Tribolium castaneum: one gene and its partners. The main gene of each other region encodes a partner of the protein of the gene in region 4 in a complex. Links are inferred from orthologs where the notes say so. Each region holds a gene or a part of one and is shown on either strand. Other genes may lie near its edges.

The links.
Region 1: nuclear pore complex protein Nup93 (region 4) and nuclear pore glycoprotein p62 share a complex: the UniProt entries of both Homo sapiens proteins name them as parts of the p62 complex. The link is inferred for Tribolium castaneum from reciprocal best matches to the Homo sapiens genes NUP93 and NUP62.
Region 2: nuclear pore complex protein Nup93 (region 4) and Nup214 share a complex: the UniProt entries of both Homo sapiens proteins name them as parts of the nuclear pore complex. The link is inferred for Tribolium castaneum from reciprocal best matches to the Homo sapiens genes NUP93 and NUP214.
Region 3: nuclear pore complex protein Nup93 (region 4) and Nup98-96 share a complex: the UniProt entries of both Homo sapiens proteins name them as parts of the nuclear pore complex. The link is inferred for Tribolium castaneum from reciprocal best matches to the Homo sapiens genes NUP93 and NUP98.
Region 5: the proteins of nuclear pore complex protein Nup93 (region 4) and Nup35 are in contact, whole or in part, in a crystal structure (PDB 7MW1), measured with the Homo sapiens proteins. The link is inferred for Tribolium castaneum from reciprocal best matches to the Homo sapiens genes NUP93 and NUP35. Residues at the interface, in NP_055484.3 of Homo sapiens: Tyr266, Tyr269, Asn402, Ala407, Asp408, Lys409, Thr410, Glu411, Tyr413, Tyr448, His452, Phe453, Val455, Asn456, Leu461; in NP_612142.2 of Homo sapiens: Ala88, Pro89, Pro90, Val91, Arg92, Ser93, Ile94, Tyr95.
Region 6: nuclear pore complex protein Nup93 (region 4) and Nup160 share a complex: the UniProt entries of both Homo sapiens proteins name them as parts of the nuclear pore complex. The link is inferred for Tribolium castaneum from reciprocal best matches to the Homo sapiens genes NUP93 and NUP160.
Region 7: nuclear pore complex protein Nup93 (region 4) and Nup153 share a complex: the UniProt entries of both Homo sapiens proteins name them as parts of the nuclear pore complex. The link is inferred for Tribolium castaneum from reciprocal best matches to the Homo sapiens genes NUP93 and NUP153.

What each region holds. Positions count from the first base shown.
Region 1 is NC_087396.1:18,040,756-18,044,746, reverse strand, and holds nuclear pore glycoprotein p62, read left to right. Parts: upstream 1-1,401; 5' UTR 1,402-1,503; coding exon 1,504-1,573; intron 1,574-1,625; coding exon 1,626-1,814; intron 1,815-1,863; coding exon 1,864-1,977; intron 1,978-2,024; coding exon 2,025-2,151; intron 2,152-2,666; coding exon 2,667-3,017; intron 3,018-3,065; coding exon 3,066-3,177; intron 3,178-3,280; coding exon 3,281-3,436; 3' UTR 3,437-3,488; downstream 3,489-3,991. Other genes in the region: ankyrin repeat domain-containing protein 12, read right to left, coding at 3,489-3,754. UniProt on the Homo sapiens protein: Essential component of the nuclear pore complex. The N-terminal is probably involved in nucleocytoplasmic transport.
Region 2 is NC_087398.1:6,201,336-6,204,955, forward strand, and holds the end of Nup214 (nuclear pore complex protein Nup214), read right to left. Parts: coding exon 639-3,620; intron 591-638; coding exon 563-590; 3' UTR 501-562; downstream 1-500. Other genes in the region: ribosome biogenesis protein WDR12 homolog, read left to right, coding at 1-487. UniProt on the Homo sapiens protein: Part of the nuclear pore complex. Has a critical role in nucleocytoplasmic transport.
Region 3 is NC_087403.1:3,514,342-3,518,277, forward strand, and holds the start of Nup98-96 (nuclear pore complex protein Nup98-Nup96), read right to left. Parts: upstream 2,801-3,936; 5' UTR 2,609-2,800; coding exon 2,545-2,608; intron 2,495-2,544; coding exon 2,366-2,494; intron 625-2,365; coding exon 1-624. Other genes in the region: uncharacterized protein LOC656938, read right to left, coding at 2,879-2,946, 3,000-3,113, 3,157-3,500, 3,547-3,677, 3,727-3,855, 3,908-3,936. UniProt on the Homo sapiens protein: Plays a role in the nuclear pore complex (NPC) assembly and/or maintenance. NUP98 and NUP96 are involved in the bidirectional transport across the NPC. May anchor NUP153 and TPR to the NPC.
Region 4 is NC_087398.1:8,838,601-8,842,603, reverse strand, and holds the start of nuclear pore complex protein Nup93, read right to left. Parts: upstream 2,801-4,003; 5' UTR 2,653-2,800; intron 2,524-2,652; 5' UTR 2,514-2,523; coding exon 2,350-2,513; intron 2,287-2,349; coding exon 2,106-2,286; intron 2,054-2,105; coding exon 1,763-2,053; intron 1,685-1,762; coding exon 1,542-1,684; intron 1,486-1,541; coding exon 966-1,485; intron 785-965; coding exon 571-784; intron 523-570; coding exon 152-522; intron 104-151; coding exon 1-103. Other genes in the region: vari (protein PALS2), read left to right, coding at 3,298-3,421. UniProt on the Homo sapiens protein: Plays a role in the nuclear pore complex (NPC) assembly and/or maintenance. May anchor nucleoporins, but not NUP153 and TPR, to the NPC. During renal development, regulates podocyte migration and proliferation through SMAD4 signaling.
Region 5 is NC_087398.1:12,058,577-12,061,444, forward strand, and holds Nup35 (nucleoporin NUP35), read right to left. Parts: upstream 1,627-2,868; 5' UTR 1,489-1,626; intron 1,440-1,488; 5' UTR 1,433-1,439; coding exon 632-1,432; 3' UTR 501-631; downstream 1-500. Other genes in the region: Hou (glucose-induced degradation protein 8 homolog), read left to right, coding at 194-373. UniProt on the Homo sapiens protein: Functions as a component of the nuclear pore complex (NPC).
Region 6 is NC_087395.1:25,108,763-25,111,286, forward strand, and holds the end of Nup160 (nuclear pore complex protein Nup160 homolog), read right to left. Parts: intron 2,492-2,524; coding exon 2,229-2,491; intron 2,184-2,228; coding exon 1,880-2,183; intron 1,833-1,879; coding exon 1,633-1,832; intron 1,586-1,632; coding exon 1,453-1,585; intron 1,408-1,452; coding exon 1,225-1,407; intron 1,178-1,224; coding exon 1,011-1,177; intron 866-1,010; coding exon 524-865; 3' UTR 501-523; downstream 1-500. Other genes in the region: uncharacterized protein LOC100142578, read left to right, coding at 42-102, 285-484. UniProt on the Homo sapiens protein: Functions as a component of the nuclear pore complex (NPC). Involved in poly(A)+ RNA transport.
Region 7 is NC_087394.1:31,192,339-31,194,990, forward strand, and holds the end of Nup153 (nuclear pore complex protein Nup153), read right to left. Parts: coding exon 2,194-2,652; intron 2,143-2,193; coding exon 2,063-2,142; intron 2,006-2,062; coding exon 1,951-2,005; 3' UTR 501-1,950; downstream 1-500. UniProt on the Homo sapiens protein: Component of the nuclear pore complex (NPC), a complex required for the trafficking across the nuclear envelope. Functions as a scaffolding element in the nuclear phase of the NPC essential for normal nucleocytoplasmic transport of proteins and mRNAs.

The DNA of each region.
Region 1 (3,991 bases), on a different chromosome or scaffold from region 4:
ACTATGACGATCGGCAAGTCCGATTGGCAAGCTTAATCGGCATGATCGGCTTTTTTTACGTGTAACGGTGGCATGTAACTTATGGCCGAGCGGCATGTCCACACCAAATCAGCTTTGGTGTGGAAGCAACTTAACGAAGAAATGGAAACTCATATTTTAAAGCCCTATATTTATATTATAATAACTGTAATATTTTTTAAATAAAATACCACTTTCCCCAAATAATTGTTTATTCACTCCTAACACCACGACGGGACAAGCAAGAGTGCCCGTTCGTCATTCTCCTACTTGCTTCCCCCTACCTCACTCAGCCTTTTCTATATAGGTACAGTACTTAATACACTACAATAACAAATTAGTTCGGTTATAGTGAATATATGAACTTCACTTTTAACGTTCGAAATTTAGACAAAAAAGTGGTCTAGGACTCGGTTATAAGTTATAAGTTATAACGTACGCACATGCACTTACAGCACTTACATGCACTTACAGCGACATTCCAGCAGGCACATAAACAGACCAAGTAATTAGAAATCTTTAAATTTAGGATACGAAACTAAAAATTATTGAATTGTTAGATAACTATTAAACATAGATGAATGTAGATAAATATGCTTTTCTAATAAATTAAATTAATACTTTATTTCGTGTATCTGTTTCACGTTTAGAATTCAGTTGACTTGAAAACTATTCTATAAACGACGATGTTCGGATAAAACAAACGATCGGGTATAATACATAACAAACAAATTCTGAAGTCCCTTGAGTGTTCGTTATAACCGAGTTCCACTGTAACTCACCAATTTAGGGTGGAGTTTAAATGAGAGCGATTTGAGACACTGTAGATCTTCCCCTTTTCAAATTGTTTAATTTGATTCGTAAGCATCTTAATAATCTTAATATATTAATCTCTTAATAGTCTGAGAAAAACTACCAACTAAAATAGTAATGACAAAAATTTAAATTATCCTTCGTCCTATATTTTTTTGAAAGGCGGTCTATAGGGTTTAAGATATAAAAATTAAAAAGTTATAGAAGATTAAAATTTCTCACAAAAAAGTTTGCGGAATCATCTTTAATGGTTTGAATGTTTGAGTGATGGAAAATAATTTGCACTTTAAAACAATTTAAACTTATTATTAAAGATAAAAATTTGGCTTTTCGGATCTTTTTAGAGAAAATTTAATTCTCTCCACTTTTTTTGTTTTTTTTTTGTTTTTTTTATACAATTTTGACTTTACTTACGGGTAACAAAAATAAAGATAAAACCTTCTGTTATAAAAAAGTGGAATATGGAAGCTTATGACACTAGAAACGCCAACGGACACTTATGATTATAATTTGAAACTTAATTTTCCTCCTTCCTAAATTTTATGAGGCCATGGTTAAAAAATCCATCTTTCCCTCAATCGCCACTAGTGCCGCCACCATCGTTTTAAAATTTAACGTCAAGCTAACCTATAAATTTTGTGAAGCTACTTGAAGCTAACTAATTTTCTGAAAATGTCTTTCAATTTCGGTGCCCCTAAAACGGCTACAGGTTTCACATTACCTACCACTAGCACAATTGCCAGTACGTAAGACATTTTGCTAACCAAAACGCAACTAACCCTTTTATTACACAGCCACCACAGCTACGGGCGGTGCAGGCGATACCAAACAGCAAACCCCTAACAAACCACTAACAAATCTATTCGGTACTCCTACGACCAGTACCGGGTTTTTCCTGGGTACAACCCCCAAAACAACAGCGTCAGTAAGTTTCGGCTTAACAACAACAAGCGCAACCTCAACTCCCAGCTTTACAATAACTCGTTAGTAACCCTTTTTTGTTAAATTTATGTAATAATTAGTCAACTTTAGCTGCGACTTCGACGACTACGCCGCAGTTCAGTCTAGGGACAAGTGCTTCAACCACTACCACCGCTGCCACTTCGTTTACTCCTATTTTGTCCACAGGGACATCCCTATCTTCAGGTTTAAAAAAATTAGGGTTTTGTAGTCTTTACACGATTTAAATTTAGGTTTTTCGTTGGCAAGCAGCGCTGCAACTTCCGCACCTTTGAAACTAACCACAACCCTAACCCCTTCAAGCACAACAACAACATCAGCCTCTGGTTTAGGCCTAGGGGGGCTTACAGCTACTACACAGTATGTACTCTAATTATAAATACTTTTAACCCGCGCAAATGCGTGTCACAGTTTATAATAACATATATCAAGAGTACTGTGAAAGTTTAGTTAAAGTATGTCTTGACTAGTATTTTATTAAGGGTACTAATAAAAAGATTATTAATAAATTCGATTTTGATCATATAATACGAGTGCGAACACACTAGGTTAAAGTTCGAGGGCTGTCGTTATACAACGAGCATATGCGAGTTGCATACTTAGACATTATTATTTTTACTGTGCGTTTAATTCGTACCGTTTTATTATTGTATGTCGAATTTATCAAATTTTGAACCATATCTTGCGTAAAATATTGATTAAAATATTTGAAATCTTTTTTTTTAACAAACTTAAAATCAGCGTTGACAATGCTCCACCTGGTTCCTGATTTGTATTATATTGTAGTTTTGATATTTCATTAAATATAAGAGTTTATGAACATACGTCCGGGAAATTTTTACAGCACTTTTGATATGTTTCGTATAATTTTTAAGAGCGCCAGCTGTGACCACCACAACAGCAGCAAGTCTGCCAACTTCTGGTACCTTAACCTATGCTCAGCTAGAGGACTGTATCAACAAATGGACTATAGACTTGGAAGAACAAGGAAAATTCTTCATTAATCAAACAAAACAGCTGAACGCTTGGGATAACCTGTTGGTTTCAAACACTGATAAAATATTGGCCTTGAATGAAACAATTGAGCGTGTGAAACAGCAGCAGAAACAACTAGACCAAGAGCTTGATTTCGTATTAGCTCAAGATAATGAATTAGATGAGTTGAGTCTTCCTCTAGAGAAACAATTAACTGATATTCCAGTCACGGATCAGAATAGATTCCAAACGTAATTGTTTATTACAGTAAAATATTCGACATTCTGTGGGTGTTTTAGGTATCAATTGTCTGAAATAATTGACTCCCAATTGAAGCAAATGTCCGAGGATTTGAAAGAAATTGTGGAACATTTGAACGAGTCTAACAAAAATGAAGATATTACTGATCCGGTTTGTGTCAACAAATGTTGTCAAGACTGCTCTGCCTACTTCACAGCACTCTTGGCCACATTTTTGTTTCGACTCACTATCCTATCATGTGTGTATGTTGTAGGTCATTCAAGTCAGTCGCATTCTAAATGCCCACATGAATTCGCTCCAGTGGATTGATAGAAACTCGTCTCAGATTTGCTCTCATTTGGAACAGATTACACAGTTACATGAGACTTACAAGAAAAACGTTTTTATTAAAATTTCCTCTATACAATAACGCCTTGTACAAATTTCTCATATCAAACAATAAATCTAACAAGATATTGCACTTAGTCGCTTTTTGAATGTCTGTGGCTTTTTGTTTCTTCCTCTGGGGGGCTTCCTTCATTCCCCTTGACTGTAAATGTGACGTAGTATCGCTTGTTCTGATCCAGACGATCCGCAGGCAGTGATATGACTTGTTTGTCGTTTCCGTGGCACAGTTCGAGTGTCACGGCCTTTTTCGTATTAATTGTTGGCAGAAAACCTGTGCCGGGTTTGCACTGCGTTGACGTAAACCCGATTTTGGGGATAGTGTGGTGATCCATTTTGGGAACTACAAAAATATGAGTAAACTTGCAACAAAGCTTTTTGATTAAAAAAATAAAGAATTTGTAATTTCATACTTTTGCTCGTTTTGAAATTCCAAAGTTTTTGATAAATAACGTATTAATTGATTGACGCCCGATTTCTTGAACGGTTTATCGATAGATAATCTGTACCTGCGAGTTAAAGAAGTGTAAGTCCATTTTTTACGAAAATGATATAATGCGTAATTTTAAATATTTAGCAA
Region 2 (3,620 bases), about 2.6 Mb from region 4:
AGAAACCATAACTTCGACTTCCTGGATTGACAACCATGTAATTTGCACTGTGTCAATGGACCATACGATTAAATTTTGGGATGCTGAGTTGTGTGGTATCAAGAATGAAATAGTTGGCCAGAAGGCATTTTTGGATTCTTCTTGGTCTTCCCTATCTAACACATTATTAGCATGTTCAGCTGATAGACATATTCGGTTGTACGACCCAAGGTCTTCAGAGGGTTCAGTGGTCAAGACTACTTTCACCTCACATACGCTATGGGTCAGTTCAATTGAATGGTCAAAATACGATGAACACCTTTTTATGTCGGGAGGATACGATTCTGGTGTCAAATTGTGGGATTCCAGAAGCCCTAAAGCCCCACTTTATAATTTAGAGGGACACCAAGGGCAAGTCCTAGCTGTAGATTGGTCCAATAACAAGTATCTGGTCTCTGGAGGGTGCGACAATAGTGTACACATTTTCAGAAATAATTATGTGTTTTAAGTGAAAAATAAAATTAATTTTAAAAAAATTTATTAGTTTCAGCTTACAAAATTTAACGTAAAACATTTTCCTTCATTAACGCCAACTGGAGAATGAGGAGCTCCTACAAAAAAAAATGTACTATGCCATTTATCAGTTTAAAAATTCTTACCCAGAGAACGGCGCACTCTGCGCTGGGGCGTTGGCAGCTTGCTGTGCCAAATTCCCAAACCCTACTGTTGGTTGATTGGCTAAATTACCAAAAGCTGTGTTCTGGGTACTAGCAGCTGCCCCAAACCCGGGGCTTGAGGACCCAAACACCTTTGAAGTATTCCCAAAAGCCGGTGGGCTGCCAAACGCCGGCGCTCCTCCAAAACTAGGCGAACTCCCGAAACTGGGCGATCCCCCGAAAACGGGAGCTGCCCCAAATCCCGGTTTTTGGAAGCTCTGACCTGCCCCAAACCCGGTTTGTCCCACAGTTCCACTCCCACCACTGAAGGGCCCCGCAGGTTGCTGACCGAAACTGCTACCCCCGAAGAAGGACGACTGTTGGCCGAAGGAAGATTGGTTCCCGAAACCGGTACCAAAACTCTGGGACGTGTTACTGAAGAGCGATCCACCACTGGAACCGAAAACTGAGCCACTTGACGACACTGGAGAGGCTCCGAAAACGCTCTTATCGCCCCCGAAGGGGTTCGCAGGTGCACCGAAACCCGAACTTGCAGTCGTTGAAACATTGAGACTTCCGAAACCGAACGTTCCGGAACTGGTATTGGTGCCGAAAGTACCGGACTGAGTAGTGGCAGGGGCGAAGACATTCGACGAACCGAAAATAGAGGGAGTCGTAGATGCAGGTGCCCCAAAAAGTGAGGGGGCAGTGGACGCAGGTGCTCCGAATAAAGATCCACTAGTACCGAAAGTACCTCCGCTTGTAGTCGTTGCCCCAAAAATGCTCCCAGAGCTCGTAGTTGGTGCATTTCCAAAGACGGAACCACCCGTTTGGCCAAAAGCGGGTGCTGAACCCCCGAAAACGTTCGTACTACCTGACGAACCAAAAACAGAACCTTGACCAAAAGCGCTTGTATTTTTGCTCCCATCGAAGGGCTGGCTTTGGCCGAACGTTGAAGAAGTTGTGGTACCACCAAATATCGACGGCTGTGTGCTTCCGAATATTGACGGTTGAGTCGCATTTGGTTTTGCATTAAATAGGGAAGGCTTTTGGGCGGCGTCTCCAAAAAGACCGAACCCTTGAGATTGAGTTGTCGTTGTAGGACTGGCAAAAGTCGACTGAGTGGTACCAACAGGAGTTCCAAAAACTGGGGTAGTGGGAGAGCCGAAAATTGACGATTGTGTCGTAGCTGCAGCCCCAAATGAACTAGTAGACAAAGGGGTAGCACCACCAAAAATCTGAGTGGTAGGTGTGGTAGCGCCAAAAACAGTCGCTGGTGAAGTACTTGACGAAACATTGCCAAAAATTGACGGCTTTGATACATTACTATCGGTACTTGCAACAGTACCAAAGACAGAAGCTGTAGTGGAGGATGATGGCAGGGCTCCGAAGATGGATGGTTTCGAAACGTTTGAATCCGTGGTTGCAACAGCCCCAAAAACACTTGATGCAGTTGTGCTGCTAAATATTGACGGTTTCGAGGCGCTAACTTCGGTACCACCAAAGAGTGGTTTAGTTGAAAGAGCACCACCGAAAAACCCAGTTGTGGGCGGAGCTGAAGATATGGTTGGAGACTGAGTAGTACTACTAACAATAGAGCCGAAAATTGATGAAGTTGTCGCTGGCGAAGAGAAAATTGATGAAGTTGTTGCTGGCGAAGAGAAAATTGATGACGTTGTTGCTGGCGAAGAGAAAATTGTTGAAGTTGTTGCTGGCGAAGCGAAAATTGATGGAGTTGTTGCTGGCGTTGAGAAAATACTAGTTGAAGATGGGACTGTTGTAACAACAGGAGCTGTAACACCGGTAGTTGTAACAGCTGTAGTAACAACAGTGGCCGCACTGGTGGCGATTTTCGGTGTTGTAGTTACGGCAGGAACAGCCGGTGAGGGAAAAATAGATGATTTAAGTGCCCCCAATGAAAACGGTGAGGACTGAGTTGATGGAGTGCCACTGGTAGTACTAACTGAATTTGGAGCTGTTACACCAAAAGTGGGTTGGATTGAGACTGGACTCGAGACAGCTTGCGTTGTTTTAGGACTGGTTGTTACAGAAGTCGTAGGGAAAATTGAACGTTGGGTACTGCTAGCAACGGGGGAAACGGCAGAAACCACCACATTTGGAGTACTTGTTGCAGAAGTAACTACTGGCTTTGTAGAAAACGTAAAGGTTTTCGATGTCGCAGCTTCGGTCACTTTTTGTGTTGCTGCACCGAAAATACTTGAAGTATTAGTAGCGCCACCGAACGAAAACTGGGTGGAGGTTGGTGCTGTGGTGGTAGCAATACCAAATGACGGAGTAGAAGTTTTCGTAAAAATCGTACTTTCCGCGGTAGTACTAACACTCGTGGATAGATTAAAAACAGAAATAGACGTACTGGGTTTGGTAGTCGCTGCACTACTTGTTAAAATGGGCGCCGCACTAGTAGTTTGTAAACTGAACGAAAATGTAGTTTTAGGCAAAGATGTGGCAAAGAGGTTTGTCCCCACCTTTGGGGTACTGCTAGTAACTGGTTGGGAAGACAAATTAACAAACGATTTAGGTGCTTGCATGGTTGCAGTACTAGTCACTGCCACAAAACTGGGACTTGTTTTAATAATAGACGCTGTCACGGCTGTAGTTGCAGCCATGAAGGTGGGTTTGTAAGTATTTGCTGATGCAGAAACCGAAGTTGAGACAAAAGCCGAATTTGGAGACCCAGCAATCACGTTTTTAGTCAAAGGCGTGAAAGTTTTCTCGGGCAAATTTGTGAAATTTTTAGCCTCGAATTTAAGGGCTAAATTTTGTAAACCTTCGATTGGAGTTGCCGTGGAGTCGAATTTGAGCACAGTGGGTTTGGGAGTTGACTGCGCAAAATCGAGAACCCGAGGTGCAACTGAAGTTTTTTCGGGAAGCCGACTAAGTTGTTTTGGCGGAGTTTGGATTACGGAACTGGCCAATTGAGGCTTCACGAATGAAATATGTGGATATTCTCTTTTTTGGAGAAAA
Region 3 (3,936 bases), on a different chromosome or scaffold from region 4:
CAAAACTTGGGGTGCTAGTGGTAGCGCCGAAAGTGTTCGGTTTTCCGAACAAAGTCGGAGTGCTTGTCGTGTTGGTCGATCCGAAAGCTGGTGTTGTTTGTCCGAAAGCCGGCGCCTGGCCGAATGCTTGCGGTTGTTGTCCGAAGGCGGGTTTGTTATCAGTTTGCCCGAAAAGCGAGGGCGTTGTAGTGGTCGAAGCCCCGAAAGGGGTGCTTCCGAAACCGGCCTGTTGTTGGGGTCCTTTCCGGTTAACCGAATAGTCCTCAAATCGCAACTCTTCCAGCGATTTATTCTCGTATTCTTTCATGCACGTGATGCAGTGGTGTTTGGTACTTATCGACTGGGTTACCCCGTTTTTTTGCATGGTGTCGGTCCCCGTAACCGGATTGAATTTAATAACAGTGCCGGTGGTCTGGTTTCCGAAAGCGTTACTTCCGAATAACATTGTATTAGTGTTTGATTGGAAAAGAGAGGTTCCGGGTTGTTGTTGCGGCTGTTGGCCGAATAATCCGGGCTGAGGAGGGGCCGAGCCGAATCCGAATGATTTATTTTGAGTGAATGCATTTGAGCCACCGAATAAACCGCTAGTTGATGGTTGTGGTTGCTGGCCAAAGGGATTTGTGCCTACAGACAGATTTATTAAGAAACTGAATGATGAAATATCGGACTATTGCCCATTCTGTGCTTGGGAAAAAAAAAGGATATGGATAGGGATCACACATCATTCCGTTAAAACCATCATTGAATATCTCACTTACCAGACGACGACTTACAAGACATCCTAGTTAAACTAGCTAAACAATAAAATAAAATAACCAAATAAATACAAATCATAGGAGTGTCTCCCGATATATGAGACAAGAAGTATACTTACAATGGGCGCTCATTGTCTCATCAGCTAAACCTATGAATCTTTTAAATTAATTGTTTCAATCGACTTAGCTTACCAAACTCTGGATCGGAAATATTGGCCATAGAATAAGTCATAGAACTGGTTGTTGTACCTATCAAATATTTAAAAAAATTTTGGCCGAAAATAACAAACCGTTACTTACAAACACATGAAGCAACTGAAATACCGCCACCACCAACTTAAAAGAAAATAAAATCGAAAAGCTCAACTGTCGCAATACTTACTACTTTGAAGATATTGGGTCAATTGTCGGTTAAGAGGTCTACCATCTTGGCCTATTGAAAATTACTTAATATATACGTAATACCTTAAATTAACTTACGTGTAATAGTAAACGGGCTTAATGGCTGTGGAACTCTCTGTTCTCCTAAATAAAAAAAAATATAGAAACAATTCCAACTTAACAATAATTTCGATTTACCAGAGGGTCCCGGCTCAGCAGCGCGAGGTGAATGAAATTCGGGATACGGTGGTCTGGGAGAAATCTCACCTAAAAATTCCAGAAAATAATAAAGATAAATTTATGACAAAAAAACTCACCAGCACCAGCGTATCTCAAAATGGCTGGATCAACCAAGCCCGGGCTATCTAAAATCAAGTAAAATGCCTTATAACTTTGTTTTTTATTTTATTAGTTGAACTCTTGAATTCTGTGAGAATAATAAACGTCTGCGAGTTCTAGTTCTAATGTGTACAATCTCCAGGAAAAAGATACTATTAATAGTATAAAAGTATAAAGGTTACATTATTTTTTACGTGGAATGTAACTATGTTATATATAAGGTGTTTAGTTTGTACTTGGAGTAGATCTATGAATTCATGAAAACGGCATAGAAATATTAGTCAGGTCACCCTGTATACAAAAAATAAAAGACCTAGAGAGTATCGTCTTTTTACAAGAGTTGTATGGGATATTCCGTCATAACTTCATAAGGAAACGTTATCTGTTTTATTTTTACATATTTATTTATTTTTTTAAAAAAAGAATGTACATTTTGAAAAGACAAGGAAACGTAAACGAGGCTGTAGTAGAACAATATTACTCACCACCACCCTGCACCTCAAATCTACGTATAGCTTCGCGATTATCTGTAAAAAATTCATGAAAAATATTGAAAGTAACAAAAAAATAGAAACTCACAGGCGGCCGTCAGGTAGTTCTCCTCATCTGGAGACAGCGGGAGAGGCGGCTCAACTGTCACAATCATAATAAAATTAATACAAATTCGAGACGCTTTATTATCGCAATGCTGATCTGTCAAAAATCACTCTCTCATTCGCGCAAACCAACTCAATTCTCATCATACGGGTTAGTAAAATACAAATTAGTGTATTTGGTGTTAGTAAACAAAAAGGGAACGTGTTGCACAATAATGGGCAATCATGGGGGCAAGTGTGAGGTTATACTACTTCTGTTTCCTACTAACTTTAACAACTGTTGGGTGTACGTACCGAAGCTGGTTTGGCTTGTGGGCGCCGATGCGAAGGACGAGGTGCTCGCAGACTGGAAGATGTTCGAGGGCTGCATTGATGAAAACATAGAGGTGTTGGGGGCAGGTTGTCCGAAAGTCGAAGTGGACGCTAGAAAACCAACCACGGTAACAACCACCGATTCAGTTCGGCAAACTTACCCCCAAAAGTTGAATTCGGTGGGTTATTCATGAATGCTGGCTTATTCATAAAGTTGGGATACATATTTACGACCACAATTGGTTAGGCATCCATAGAAATCACAGGAGATGCAGCGATTGATTTTCATTAACACCACATTAAAACACGACGGTTTTTACTAATATTTTGCCACAAAAACACAACAGACGGTTAAACTACCGCAAATTTTATTTACGACAACCATCTTGTTTTTATTGTAAAAAGCGGTGGCGCCACCTGCGAGTGGCGCGAAATTAAATTCAAACTGCGCAGCTATCATTTATTAAACCAAACCAATTAATACAATTTTTTATTTTACAACGTATATTGCTTAAAATCGTGTAAGCAGTTCGTGAAAACGTCTTCCACAGTTGAGGGTCCCGCTACAAAATTGTATTCATTATCCAATTATGTAACAAATTAACAAAAAACTCACAAAAAGGATACCATTCATCGCACGAATTTCTCGTTTCCTTTCTGGCACTCGCAACGGCGTTGCGTATCGCCAACGGGACTGAACACGCCAAACATAGCGGTGGTTCCCCGATAGCTACAATTTTCCACAGTTATGATTCCATATTCAAGCTATTTACCTTTGGAATTGAGAACTCCAACGCCATTGGGCGTATCGCCCGGAAATTTGATCCTAAAATCAACTGGAACGTCCCTCGCGCCTGGTGGTTTATAATTCCAAGTGCGATTGGTCAACAACTCGCCGCTTTCGCTAAAAATAATCTTCTCCGACGTGAAATAACCCATGCCCATGACAAACGCGCCCTCGACTTGCCCCATATCGATACCAGCGTTCATGCTAGTACCGGCATCTTCGAGTAAATCAACCCTTTGCACGATATATTGCCCGGTTAAAACGTCCAGCTCTATTTCGGAGGAGCAAACGCCGTAAATCGCGTAATTTTTCAGTTCGGAAGGGCTACCCCTAAAAACATTATTCGGAAATTAATTACTTAACGAATCACTTATACATTGAAGAGGCCGACAAGTTAACATATTGATTGTAACATTCTTGCACAATTTCCTCCCAACTGGCATTTTCGAGCTGTTTTTTGACCGGTTCCATGCGTTCTAACAGGATATCGCACGCTTTAATCACACCCTGTGATAGATATTTGAGAAAAACAAAAAAAACAAGAGTGAGGTAATACGTGACAAACTGTTTCCGATGTTAAGCTACCACCGACCATGTGGGCATTAGGCGCGATCAAATTATTGCTAGGCTTGACCGAAATTTTTTCGACTGGAATTTTCAACTTGTAGGCACACACTTGAATGACCTTCAATTACACGTGTACGATTAGTTCAAATTTAAACAAAGTCACTGGTCACCTTAGTGTTGATACCTTGCCCCATCTCGA
Region 4 (4,003 bases):
TTCCCTTCTCCAACAATCTCTCCTTCAGAGAGTTTGGTTGAGAAGGCAAATGAACCACTTGTGACAGCAAAGTGCAAAATAAATTCAAAACCTCCTCTTGATTCTGTAAAAAAATATTAACACGATATTTGTTTATTAAAGTATCACTCACATCAGCCAAATCAAACACATCTATTGCTTCCTCGAATAATCCCTTCTTTACCAAAGAATCGCCAATCATTTGAGCAATGTTTTCCGCACTGATTTCAGCGTTAGTAAACTGGTCGATCAGCCCTTTGGTTCTTATATCATTGGGCTGAATGACCCCCAAAATCTTGTTGTACTCCTTGGTTTCAATAGCCAGATCACACACACAAATCTTGAACAAATTCACTCCATCCTCATTGGTAAAATTGCGCAAGATATAAAAGTAGTGCAACGCCTCATTAGGACAAGTTATTTCAAATTTGCGAACATAAATCATAATTAAACGCGCCAGGTTCAAGCGGCGACTTGGTTTCACATCCATTGGGTCAATACTAACTAATAAAAATCATAAGTAAACAAACAATCGCAAAAACTTTTACATACTAAGTGGTGCTGAACTGTCCCGTGAGCCAGCCAATAAGTACAACTCGTTCAAGGCAATGGCCATATGGACAGCATGAACTCGGTACCTCTCAATTCGGGGCAAAAATTCAATAGCGGCCTCAAATTGACCGGTTAATGCGAGCACTTGGAAATATAAGTGGGGTTGGTTCATGGCGTCATAATGAGCTTCACCATACTCTTCCAAAATCATCCGCTAAGGAATAGTGTATTACGTAATGTGGGAAACACATACGAGCGTTAACAACTAAATGTTACGTAAAAATTGAAAACAAATAACTTTTTCTTGAAAGTATTGGACATAGTAATGCAAATAACAATAATTGTTGCATACAATAACTAATAAACGTGTTGGGTAAAGTAAATAGTGTACACACCTGCAGGTCGTTGTACTTAATGTGGTCGTCCTTTTCGTAATCAGCTCTCACTAAGCTCAATTTCAACCATAAATAATCGTCCGCGGTTCTGGCGACTTCCGAATGCTCATCAACGACATCGCAACAGCCAAGCACCGCACAGACGATACGCTTAAAAGGGTCAGTTTCGTTACGTACATGTCTGCGATAATTGTAGCGCACATTATCCTCCAGTTTGTAAATATCTGGACTGTCAGGATTATTGAGTTTTGCTTCCAAAATAGCAACAATGTCTTGAAACTCTTTTTCGTTTTTCTTCTTTAGACAATAAATTGCTGCTGCTAAATCTCCGCTCCTTATACAGTAGTAGACCATGGGCCATAAAGGCCTTCCATCGATTTTGTCATCTTTCAAGCCCGAATATTCGCCTTGGAGGCGAACACCGACGTAACTGCGGACTAAGGGATAAGTTCCGGGAACTCCCCCAAGCATCGCAGTTGATAGGTTTTCGTTAATGATGTTACTCATATACGTCTTATATCTAGAATTATTTACCTAATTGTGGTCTTTTTTCATTGAATTAGAAAAATAAATTACCGATCTTCCAGATATTTCTTGCCTTGTTTCACCAAAGCGTTTATGAAAGGGGCAGAATTTCGAGTTTTAATCTGATCCTCTGACTGAGGAAACGGCGGCAACTGAGTCATGTATTTCATTATTTCCCACATGTCTTTAACTTTCTGAAATTTTTAAGCTTAAGAACGACTGTATGTTGTCATTAAAATTTTGTCTGATATCAAAATGAGGCAAAAACTTACGGCGTCTCTCAAGTCATTTGCCACGCTGATGAAGCTGTTTATGAGACTTGGCTTCTGAATGCTCCTGCCAATTGCTTGATTGTATTCCATAATCTTGGCGGCATAGAGAGTCTCTGCCACTCCTAAGTTGGGGGTAATAGAAATAGGCCTCTCCATAAAAACGGATGAATATTTTCCAATTTCTATGAAAGCCCCAGATGGTCCCAGCATCGAATTTAGGATTTTTCGTTTTTCTTGTTTCCATTCGCCAGTTTGGTGTTCCCAAGAGCAGTCGGAAATTGTTTTCATGCACTACAATATGTAATTATGCGTATGTACACTTTGGGAACCACGTATGGATTACTTTATTGAAACCGTTTTCAAATACACTCAAAATGCAGTTTTGGATTTCATTTTCAAGAATTCCGACTGCATTTACGTCCTCAACCGGCTCAATGGATTCGAATGTGCGCTTGGTACTAATTGATTCCAATTTTTGTATTATTTTTGGCAAGTCTACGCCTTTTGATCCTAACAATAAATTCCTGAAATTTGTTACGTCCACGTTATATTTAATTCTGTTAACAGTGAATAAGTCAAAGACATACGCTTGAATGTCCTTTGCTCCAGTTTGAGCCACTTTTGAATATAAATCGTTAGAAGCTTCCAAGACCTGCCGAATAGATCTATCAACTTTTGGCAGTTCTTTACTCCCTTCAATGTCAACAGTGATTTTTTCAGCCTCCTGGAGGAGGTCGGCAAAGTCGCCCATGTTGATATTTCTAAAAATGTTGGAAAAAATAATCAAAAACAAGAAACTAAAAGTTGGGTTAGGACAACAATATAACCTTCAAAAATACATAAAATTGATGTATTTCATAACAAGAAGCAATTTATCGGCAAAAACCTACTTGAATTGATGTTCAAACACACAATTTAAAACGTATTTTCGTGAACTTTTGTAATTCTTGTAAAAAATGCCGCTACAAACATGCAACGGTTAAAAACGATGCTGCTTATGTAACCCAAAATACACTTTTTCAGCTAGTTTCAGCACATATAGGCAACCCAAAATTTACGATTTCAGTTTCAGTGATTCTGATTGCCGACGCACTGAAACTGAACAAATCCCCAAGTTCGTTTTGTTTTTCAGTTTTCGGAATCATATCTTCTAATGTATATTTCTTAGTTTTGTTTTCGTATAATACAACTAAATTTTTATCGATTTATTGTAACATAAACCGTAAACATAAAATAGAGCGTCGATGTCGTGCTGGAAATCACTTTGAAAGCTGTTCCAGCTTTATCGATAATTCGTCCAGATAGCAAGGTAATGCGTGGGTGAAGCTTCACCTGACGCTTTTTCCAGTTGCGAGTTCGTTCTTTCTATTATTAACGCCGTACTCTGATGAAACAGACGTCGCGAAATTGAAATGTTTTGTTAATAGAATGGCTTAACATCCTTAAAACGTGTATTCTTTCTTTATCGATTATTTATTAAGTAACATTTATAAATAGCAGAATAGACTTGTATTGTGCTGTAAAGTTTTTTAACGATGGTGCGCACCTGTTATGCAATTAAATGGGGATGTAGACCTTTCATTAAGAATCACCAACCGGCATTTCAGTGTAAAAGGGTTGTGAAAAGAAGCTGCACTTCTACGGATTTTTCAGCATTAGGTAAATGCCACTGACCATAACTATTCAATATTTTAAATTAAGTTAACATATTGGTGTGTTCTATCAATATTTTATTATTATCGAGTCAGTTTTATGCCACTGTGGGATTTATTCGTTTTTTCAATCACCTAATCAACAGTTAGCATCCAGTGCAGGTATGCCTAATATTATTCGTAATAAGAGAAATGTGTTAAAGAAATACTTCTCAAATAATTTTGCTTTGTTTAACACAATGCCATTTTTTAAAGGTGGATAGTGTCTTAAAATTGTTCTTAAATTTATAATAAACATTGAATGTGCTCTCTGAATTGATTTAATGTACATCAGCAGACATTTAGAATATAATTACATAACTGCTTAAAACTAACATGTACGATGCTAATGTTAATTGAAAGTAAATACTACCACATATCATATCAGTTATTAAGTTTTAATTCCATTATAAGTCCGGGCCTGAAAGCATGCTTCAGGATGTATCTATAGCAACGCAGACTAGAATCGCCACTGCTGAAAGATCAGTACACTGTAAGCGCAGACATTTCAGCATCTACCGCGATCCTGAAAAGAACGGCAAGAGCTTTT
Region 5 (2,868 bases), about 3.2 Mb from region 4:
ATGCACTTAAAATAATTAATAGCTAATGTAATTTATAGTTTCAACTATTTATTAACTATTTTACAATTTTATGAACCACATTTAAAAAAATAATCTGGTAAAATGCGACGTTGGCGATTTTATAGTTTTGCTTACAATTTTATGAATATCGATAAACACATAGGTATACTTAAATCACCCAATGGTTTTGCAGATTGCGAGTGAGGTAAATGCAGCGATTTTAAAAATGGAACACCAAGAAACAACGGCTTCGAAAATCTCAACGCTACTTAAACTAGTTCTTTGGGCACAAGACAAGTTGCATAAGAAAAATGTCAGATATCCGAAAATGACTGATTTGGCTACTGCTACGATCGAGGACCCGAAAAATTAAGACCAGTTTTGTTATTGTAGATTTTAGTTAAGTTATTCAGCTATTGCATCATTAGTTGTCAATTGTGATCACAGCGGTTAGAGTTTTTTTGTAAATTTGTATACTAATTATTAATAAAGGAAAAACATCAATTGATAAAGTAGTTTCTTTAAAAAAAAAATACATACATCAAATTACAACTTCGTTGATTAAGTCAAGGCGACTACCTTGGTGAATTAATCAAGGAAGCTTAGTACAATAATAAATAACAACTAAAAATCACCAACCAAAAACATATTCAATGGCTTTCGACACTAAACCAGTGGACTTCTGGGGGACATTTTGAGGTGGCAAGACTGAATTATTACTACTTGGACTTATATACGAGTGTCTCAGACTCCTAGCTCTAACCGGCGACGTAAAAACATTCTCATTTTCCTTATTCTCCTTATTATAATGTAAACTAACCCCGATCATAATATTATTATTTATACATCTACCGTTGAGAGCCAAAGCCCGGGGCACATCACACAGGTTGTTAAACTTAACGTGCAACCAGTTCCCCTGCGCTGGCACCTTCTTTTCCACTATAACCCCACAGTTGCTCAACTGAGCCAACACCAGGCTCAGAGCGCTCGGGGGAAACCCAAACACGGTCACCCAGTGGGTGTCTATCTTATCCACGCGACTTAAATTCGTCGTTTCGTTCAAATTCCGACTGTAATTGAAACTATCCCTGAAAGTGTCCCCGATGGCCGTTGATTGCATCACGGGGCTCGTGGGCTTGCGTTTTTGCTCGATTGTGTCAAAGAGGCCCTGACTGGGGGGCCCGGGTTTGTGCGGCGCGAAGGGCTTGGGGCTGTCGAGCGTTTGGTTGAAGAGTTTGGGGTATGAACGCGGGTCTGGAGTGCTGGTGGCCCCCAGCTTGCGCGCTGGGTTGCGGTTGCGGCCAGGGGATGTGTTGGGGGTTGGAGTGGACGGCTGGGAGGTGTCCCCCATGAGGAAAGCTGGGAGGAAGTTGGGGTTGACGCTGGGGGAGGAGGGGCTGGATGGGGCGCTGCCGAGGGTCATGGGCTCCATGGCAAAGCTGCAAAGTGCGGTTGTTTGATGTAAAAAAACAAAATTAGTAAACTTACCGAAGTAAATGATTCGAGTTTTTTGTAAAATGTAAATGTCAGATTTAGAAGTGACAAATGACAAGTAACCGAAATTTAGACGGCTAGTATAGTCAGTCAGCAAAATTGTGCCGCGCACTGTTGGTTGCCTAAGTAATTTCGGTATAATATTTTTTTTACTGATAAATATGTGGATCATTTTGTTCTTACATGTTTTTTTACAGTACAATGGTAATAATTAAATTTTAATTAACATTGACACTTATTTAAAAAATTGCTTATACCTAAATAAAAATGTGCTAAAAGTGTTAATTAGTTAAGACAACAGAACTTGCCTAAATTAAATAAAATTCGATCCAGATTGCTGTGTATTGCACATTCTACGTGAATTACTGTTGCTTAACAACTGAATAATTTTTGACAGTCCGCGGCAATTTGAAACAAACTCTACCTAATTTGTTTTTGTTGTAAAACGTAAAACGAATCCCCCCAGCTGTTGAAAATAAAACTTGAAACTTTTTCATGGATCGTTTAGACGAGAAGTAAAAGTTAGTGAACTTTTCACTTTGACGCTTTATTCGCTCAATAAAAGTAACGTTGAATAGCATCAGCAAAAAAGTGACGCTTTTTCATGCTGAAAGCGTTATAAAGTTGAGCTGAAAAATCGCATTTTCGTGATTTATAATGGAACTACTTATTTTGAAGCACTGCATATGTTTGTATATTTTTTATTTCTGTATCTGCAAGTGTTATCTTTAAATTTTCAAATGTGAAATAGTCACGTATAAGTATGTTTAACATTTGAAATTAATTATTTCTGAACGTAATCTGTGGTGGTAACACGTAATCCCATAAAGGATTTTAAAACCGAACTGAGTTATTAAATTTTTGCTAGAAATGAGAAATTCTTCTACGGAGAAGTTTTTATCATAACTCACAGTAAATATAAATTATCGATGACGCACTTATTGAGATTATAATCTTATTTATTTACGTAGAAATGTACGCAAGTAGGTAGGTACTCGAAATTTTTTAGAATGTTGAAGATTAAAACCTTTTAGAACTTTTACTATCAGTATGTTAAAATATTTAATAAAAATTTACAAAATTTAAGCTCAACAAAGGAATGTATGAGAAAAAAGAGTAGTTGAAAAACGAATGCGCGAATTATTCACGCATATCATGGTAAACCAGAACTGTGAGATGTTAAAAGCAAAGTATATCGGGACAGAGTTAAGAAAAAAGCTTTTATAACCGACATTGTGACTACGTTTAAAACTAATCGTTCTGGAATACTGACAGCAGTTCTAAATTTTGTATTTTGCTTTGCTACCAACCACCCAATTTTGCAGACAAATTTTTCAAAATCTATTAATTTTTTTCTAAAAAAGTTAGAAAATT
Region 6 (2,524 bases), on a different chromosome or scaffold from region 4:
CGCAACAATGACCGAAGATTTATTATTCGCATTCGAAACGGATGAATGTGAGCAAAAGGACGTGGGATTTTAAGGACGGGTTTGGCACCTCCTTGGGCGCAGGTGAGCATTTTTTGCCATAAACGCTAAAGTGCGACTTGTTCTACTCGAAATAACAGATCAAGGAGCTCTTTAACCGCAAGTGTAAACTGCAGATAAGGTTTTTCGGCGAATTCTTCGAAATAATAATAGATCACGCAGTTTTTGGCGAGTTTTGTTATAGCAATAACAATTTTTTTTTCAAGAAATCAGAGGCAACGAATGGGCCCCTCTGATCCTGATTCCGCTCCTGGCGGCTATCATGCTGGTCGCCAGCGTGCTCCTGCTGATAGTCTTCCGACAGCACCCAACCCTGGTTATCACCACAGTCGCCGGCTGCCTCCTCATCGTCACCATCTACCTGACCTTCACCACAGTGGGGAGCGTAACCGAAACGTACGAATGAAAACGAAATAAAACACTTTTTTACGAAACAATCACTTTATTAATTCATCGCCAGGCTTAAGTGGTAGTTGCACATCTCGATCGAGGTTCTTTGTGCCGTTTTGAGGTACGTATCGAGGACGTTTGATAAGTGTTCGCATTCCCGGAGGAAGGGTTTTTCCGGGTCGTTTGAGTTGATCAGCTTCAGTTGGTTGATAAGAGTTATGAAACCGCGAACGGGGAGACAGACGGCTGGTGTTGTGGGTTGCATGGCGTGTGCGAAACCGTAGTATTCCTTACCGTAGCCCAAGGCCGCCATCATGTACTCGGAGGCGATTTCGGCGGCTTCCTCCAGCCGGCCAGACGTGTACAAGAGGCGGAAGAGCTCGGAGGGGTTGCGCTTCTGCAACGCCCAAAAATACGATATTGCGAACTCAAATTATTCTCAAATCAAAATTCATAAAATATGATTCAGATCAACTTAAAAGCGAAATCGCAGATTTTATAAAGATTCAAAAAAATCGTGAAATTCGAATTCAAATCCTCACCTTATAGGACGACAGCAGCCACTGCGGTATCCACAGATTCATCTTAATAACCTGCTTACACACGATTTTATGAATAACGGACATTTTCTCCTCCTCGTACTCCTCCACACACTCCTGCAGGAGGCTCCACGCCGCCTCCGACGCACTTTTCGTCCCAACTGGCAAATCTAAAACCCTCAATTATCACACCCAACCCCCAAAACCACACTCAAACCTTGCAAATTGTTCTCAATCAGCCACTTCCAAGTCACCGGTTCGTTCTGTTTGGACAACGACGCGCATTTTTTCGTAAGTGCCTCAAACACTATCCTGTAAGAAACGTCAAAAGTCCTCGAAATTGTCAACGCCGTCTTAAACAAACCGGCACTAGTCAACAAAATCACCAATTCGTGCGGATCTAAAACCAAAGTTAAGACCTAAAAGTGCCTCACGGCTGCCTCACTTGTTATTTCGAAGTAGTTGCGCGGGTTGAAGCGAATTAACTTGAGCTTGGCGCTGGCGAACGCCAAGTCCTTGGACATTATTTCAAGGTTGATGATGTTCACTTGTTTGCGTACTATGATTTCTTCAGGCTCCTGTTGAAATTTTGAGTGAGGCACGCCTCAAATGCTAGGCTACTTACGTCATCCGAGCCGGCAAAAGTGGGTAAAGTGATGGTTTTATCCTCGATTTGTTCCACGGGCATTACGATGTAAGCGTATTGAGGCTCACACAAGGCTAGGGCGTTTTTCGCAGCAAGGTAACACTTGACTTGTTTTTCCAACGAGTCAGGATCACTGTATTGGCTGAGTCGGAAGGCTTGTTCATACATCACAGAGGCGGCTACAACCAACCAATCACAACAAATCGACCAGAAAATAATCCAGTACCGGCCCGCAAAAAAGTGGTCCCTCTTTTAATTTGATAAGCGTACAAAAAATCGTAGTAAATATTATTCGAGGGGTCGGCAGCGCGCGCCCTCGTCGAGACAATATCACAAAATAGCTCCTCCATCCCGCTGTACGTGAAACCCATCAAAACGTCCAACTTCTTCTCATCCAGCAATTTTTTCACCAAGTCGCGCAAATTGTCCTTGCGTCTGTCGGAATCCGGGTTGGCATTGAGCGAGTCATACGCACTTTGGTAGTTTTTCAGAGCCAAATGGTGCTTGAATTTGATGGAGTACAAAGTGGCCTAGAAGTAACACTAGTGGCGCCCTTTGCCTCAAATGGCACTTACGGTCAAAGGGTCGTCCGGTGAGGTGACACTGAGCGCCTTATTGGCCAAAGCGATCGCACAATCGTACGATTTGTGCAATTCGAACAAATGAATCACTTTCAAGTAGTAGTTAATGTAGGCTTTGGTTTGGTTGTGGTCAGGGGTTAGGATGCGTTGGGCCAAAAATTGGTCCGTGAAAATACCCTTGGCCGCATTTTCGAACAGTTCTTGCGCTTTGTACGGTTCACCAGTGGTTAGTAAAGACGCGGCGAGAAGGAAGCTATCTATAATAATTAATTAGTTGAGGGCGCTTAATT
Region 7 (2,652 bases), on a different chromosome or scaffold from region 4:
TATGTTGCTTTAATGTAAGAAATTTATAAAATACAATTGTTATATTCAATATAAATAAAGTTACACTAATTTTGTACATCCAGATAATTGAATATGACAACTGTAGGACGATTTTATACAATTATCTTGTTTACATCTCTTTTGTATTATATTTTATTTTCACTTTTAAAATTATAACTTGTAAAAAAGTACAACTTTTGACGCAAATCCTTAGTCTTAATTTCCACAGGATTAAGGCTCTTCAGACGTTTTAGCACAGTTTCATTTGGCTGAGGAAATACTTTGTATAGTTGTCTCCATGTATTTGAGTGTATGTCTGTTATATATAATCTTATAAAATTGAAATGTTCCATACAAGTAACATTAAAACTTTTTAATCTATATGGACTTTTAGTTGTAAAGTTATTGTCCTCCACACAAATTTTGTAACTAAGAACAACTGCAGGAATTTCAGATAGTACCAGGATCTAAAAAGAAACTAGGTCAATACATACTCATGATGGTTTTATAACTAATGTAATTTTATTAACTAAAACAAAATTTAACAAAACTTGGCTTTATTAAGTATAAATTATTGCATAATTTAAAAAGATACTAGCGTAGTAGGAATGATTTGGAACATTAAAAAATAGGGTGCTCCTGTCAGTTGTTTTCCATTGTAAACTTCACATTCAACATAAATATGTAAAACTACCCAAACGAAAATAATTTAAACAAAACTAGGCCAAGTTCTTGACAAATATAACTAATAAAATTATACATTAAAAAAATAAAGGCACAAATATGCTGAAAATTCCATCCGTTCGTAAAAAGTAACGCAACCTCGTGATAAATGAATTAGGAATAACAATAGCTGAAGTAAAAATGAAATTTTCAGCAAAACGTTTTATTTCATGTAGAATTACAATATTTACACGAAGCAGTCTAACTCCTTTTAATACTTCTCACATAAAAAGAGCCCAATAACGGCTCATTACGTAAAACAACACAAGTATTTCAGACAACAAAAATTATTCATTTAAATATATCCTACGAATATAATTATACAAAATAGATGTGTTGTTAAAAACCACACTTTTAAACAAATATTTACAACTTTTTCAATTTGAGGAACTAAGGAGTGAGCCTACTTTTTGATAAGATAACACAGACAAAAACTAAATTAACAATAAAAAATAAATACTATTGCATTGCAATAATTACTAGTTCGATACTCAGCAATCCTTGATAAACAACTTGGCTGCCAAATTCTTCCAACAAACCAAATTACAACGTAAAAAAATAATCTAGTCTTCTACCATGGACTTTTGCAATAAAAACAATAATTCGTTTTGTCTGTGTTGATTAGTTTAGATATTATATTTATATGCATATTGTTTATACTTATGTATGGGGCCTGACCCATAAGAATATCACAGTAAAAGTAGCCAGTATTGGCCGTCATATAAATATTATATGGTACGAATCATTCAAAAATTTCACAAATATTTCATCATATTCATCATCACACAATATTGATGAAAATCCTCTTCATCATCATTATAAAATTCTACATTCTATGGATCAGACCTTTGAAATGCCTACGCTATGGTATACAATGTAGGGAGTAACATGCCGTGTACAACAGTGTCATTTGTACACCGACGCATCTGTGAACATTACTTGTAACTGCAGACATTCAGATATGGTAAATAAATTCTGAAGATTTTCAACGTTATATTACATGTTCGAAAGACGAATGCCTGGACTCGAATATTCACAGGTGGCCCATTTATTATTAATGCCTAGCTAACATTTATAGGTCTGAAAACAAATATTGTTTTTAATATCAAGGTGATTGATCCACACATTTATTCTTTACATAATTTAAGCAAACTTAACACGTACTCACACAACTCCAATTTCTTGTTTCACGATACAATCACTCCTCTATATACAAACTCTAGGAAACTATCGCTGCGTCGTCCGTCGGAACGCTTTCTTGATTTTTCGCTGGGGCGGCGCCCTAAACCGAAACATTCACTTGTAACTTCTCTCGTAATAAACAAATACAACTACTTACGTTCCTGCATTTCCATCTGTAAAGTTAAATGTAGGTGGGGCGCCCGTAAAGTTGAAACCCCCGGGTACATTAAGTGGTTGCTGCAAACAATAAATTAAAAAAAAATCACCATCACAAAACAATTAACTTACGGTCGGTGCTCCGAAATTAAACCCCGGCTGACTCTGTCCCTGACTGGGAAAACTGGGCTGACTCGGCGGCGGATTAGTCTGATTAGCCCCAAAACTAAACACCGCTTTCTGATTGTTATTATTCGCATTTGTCCCAAAATTGAAACTCCCATTCTTGGCCGCTGGTCCCGCCGTCCCGAAAACACTCCCCCCGGCATTAAACGGCTGACTCTCCACTTTGGGCGCACCACCAAAGTTAAACCCGGCACTAGGCACCGAGAAGCTAAACCCTGTATTTGGCGCACTTGACGCCCCTGCTGCTGCACTCCCAAAATTGAAAACGGGCGTCGTATTCGGTTTCTCGGCCTGACCGAACGAAAAACCCGCATTTTTGGGGGCACTTTCGAACGCAAACGGCTTGCTTTCGCTCGTCCCGAAGCTCTGGGACGCCCCAAAGGCTGGAATTTTCGGAACCGAACC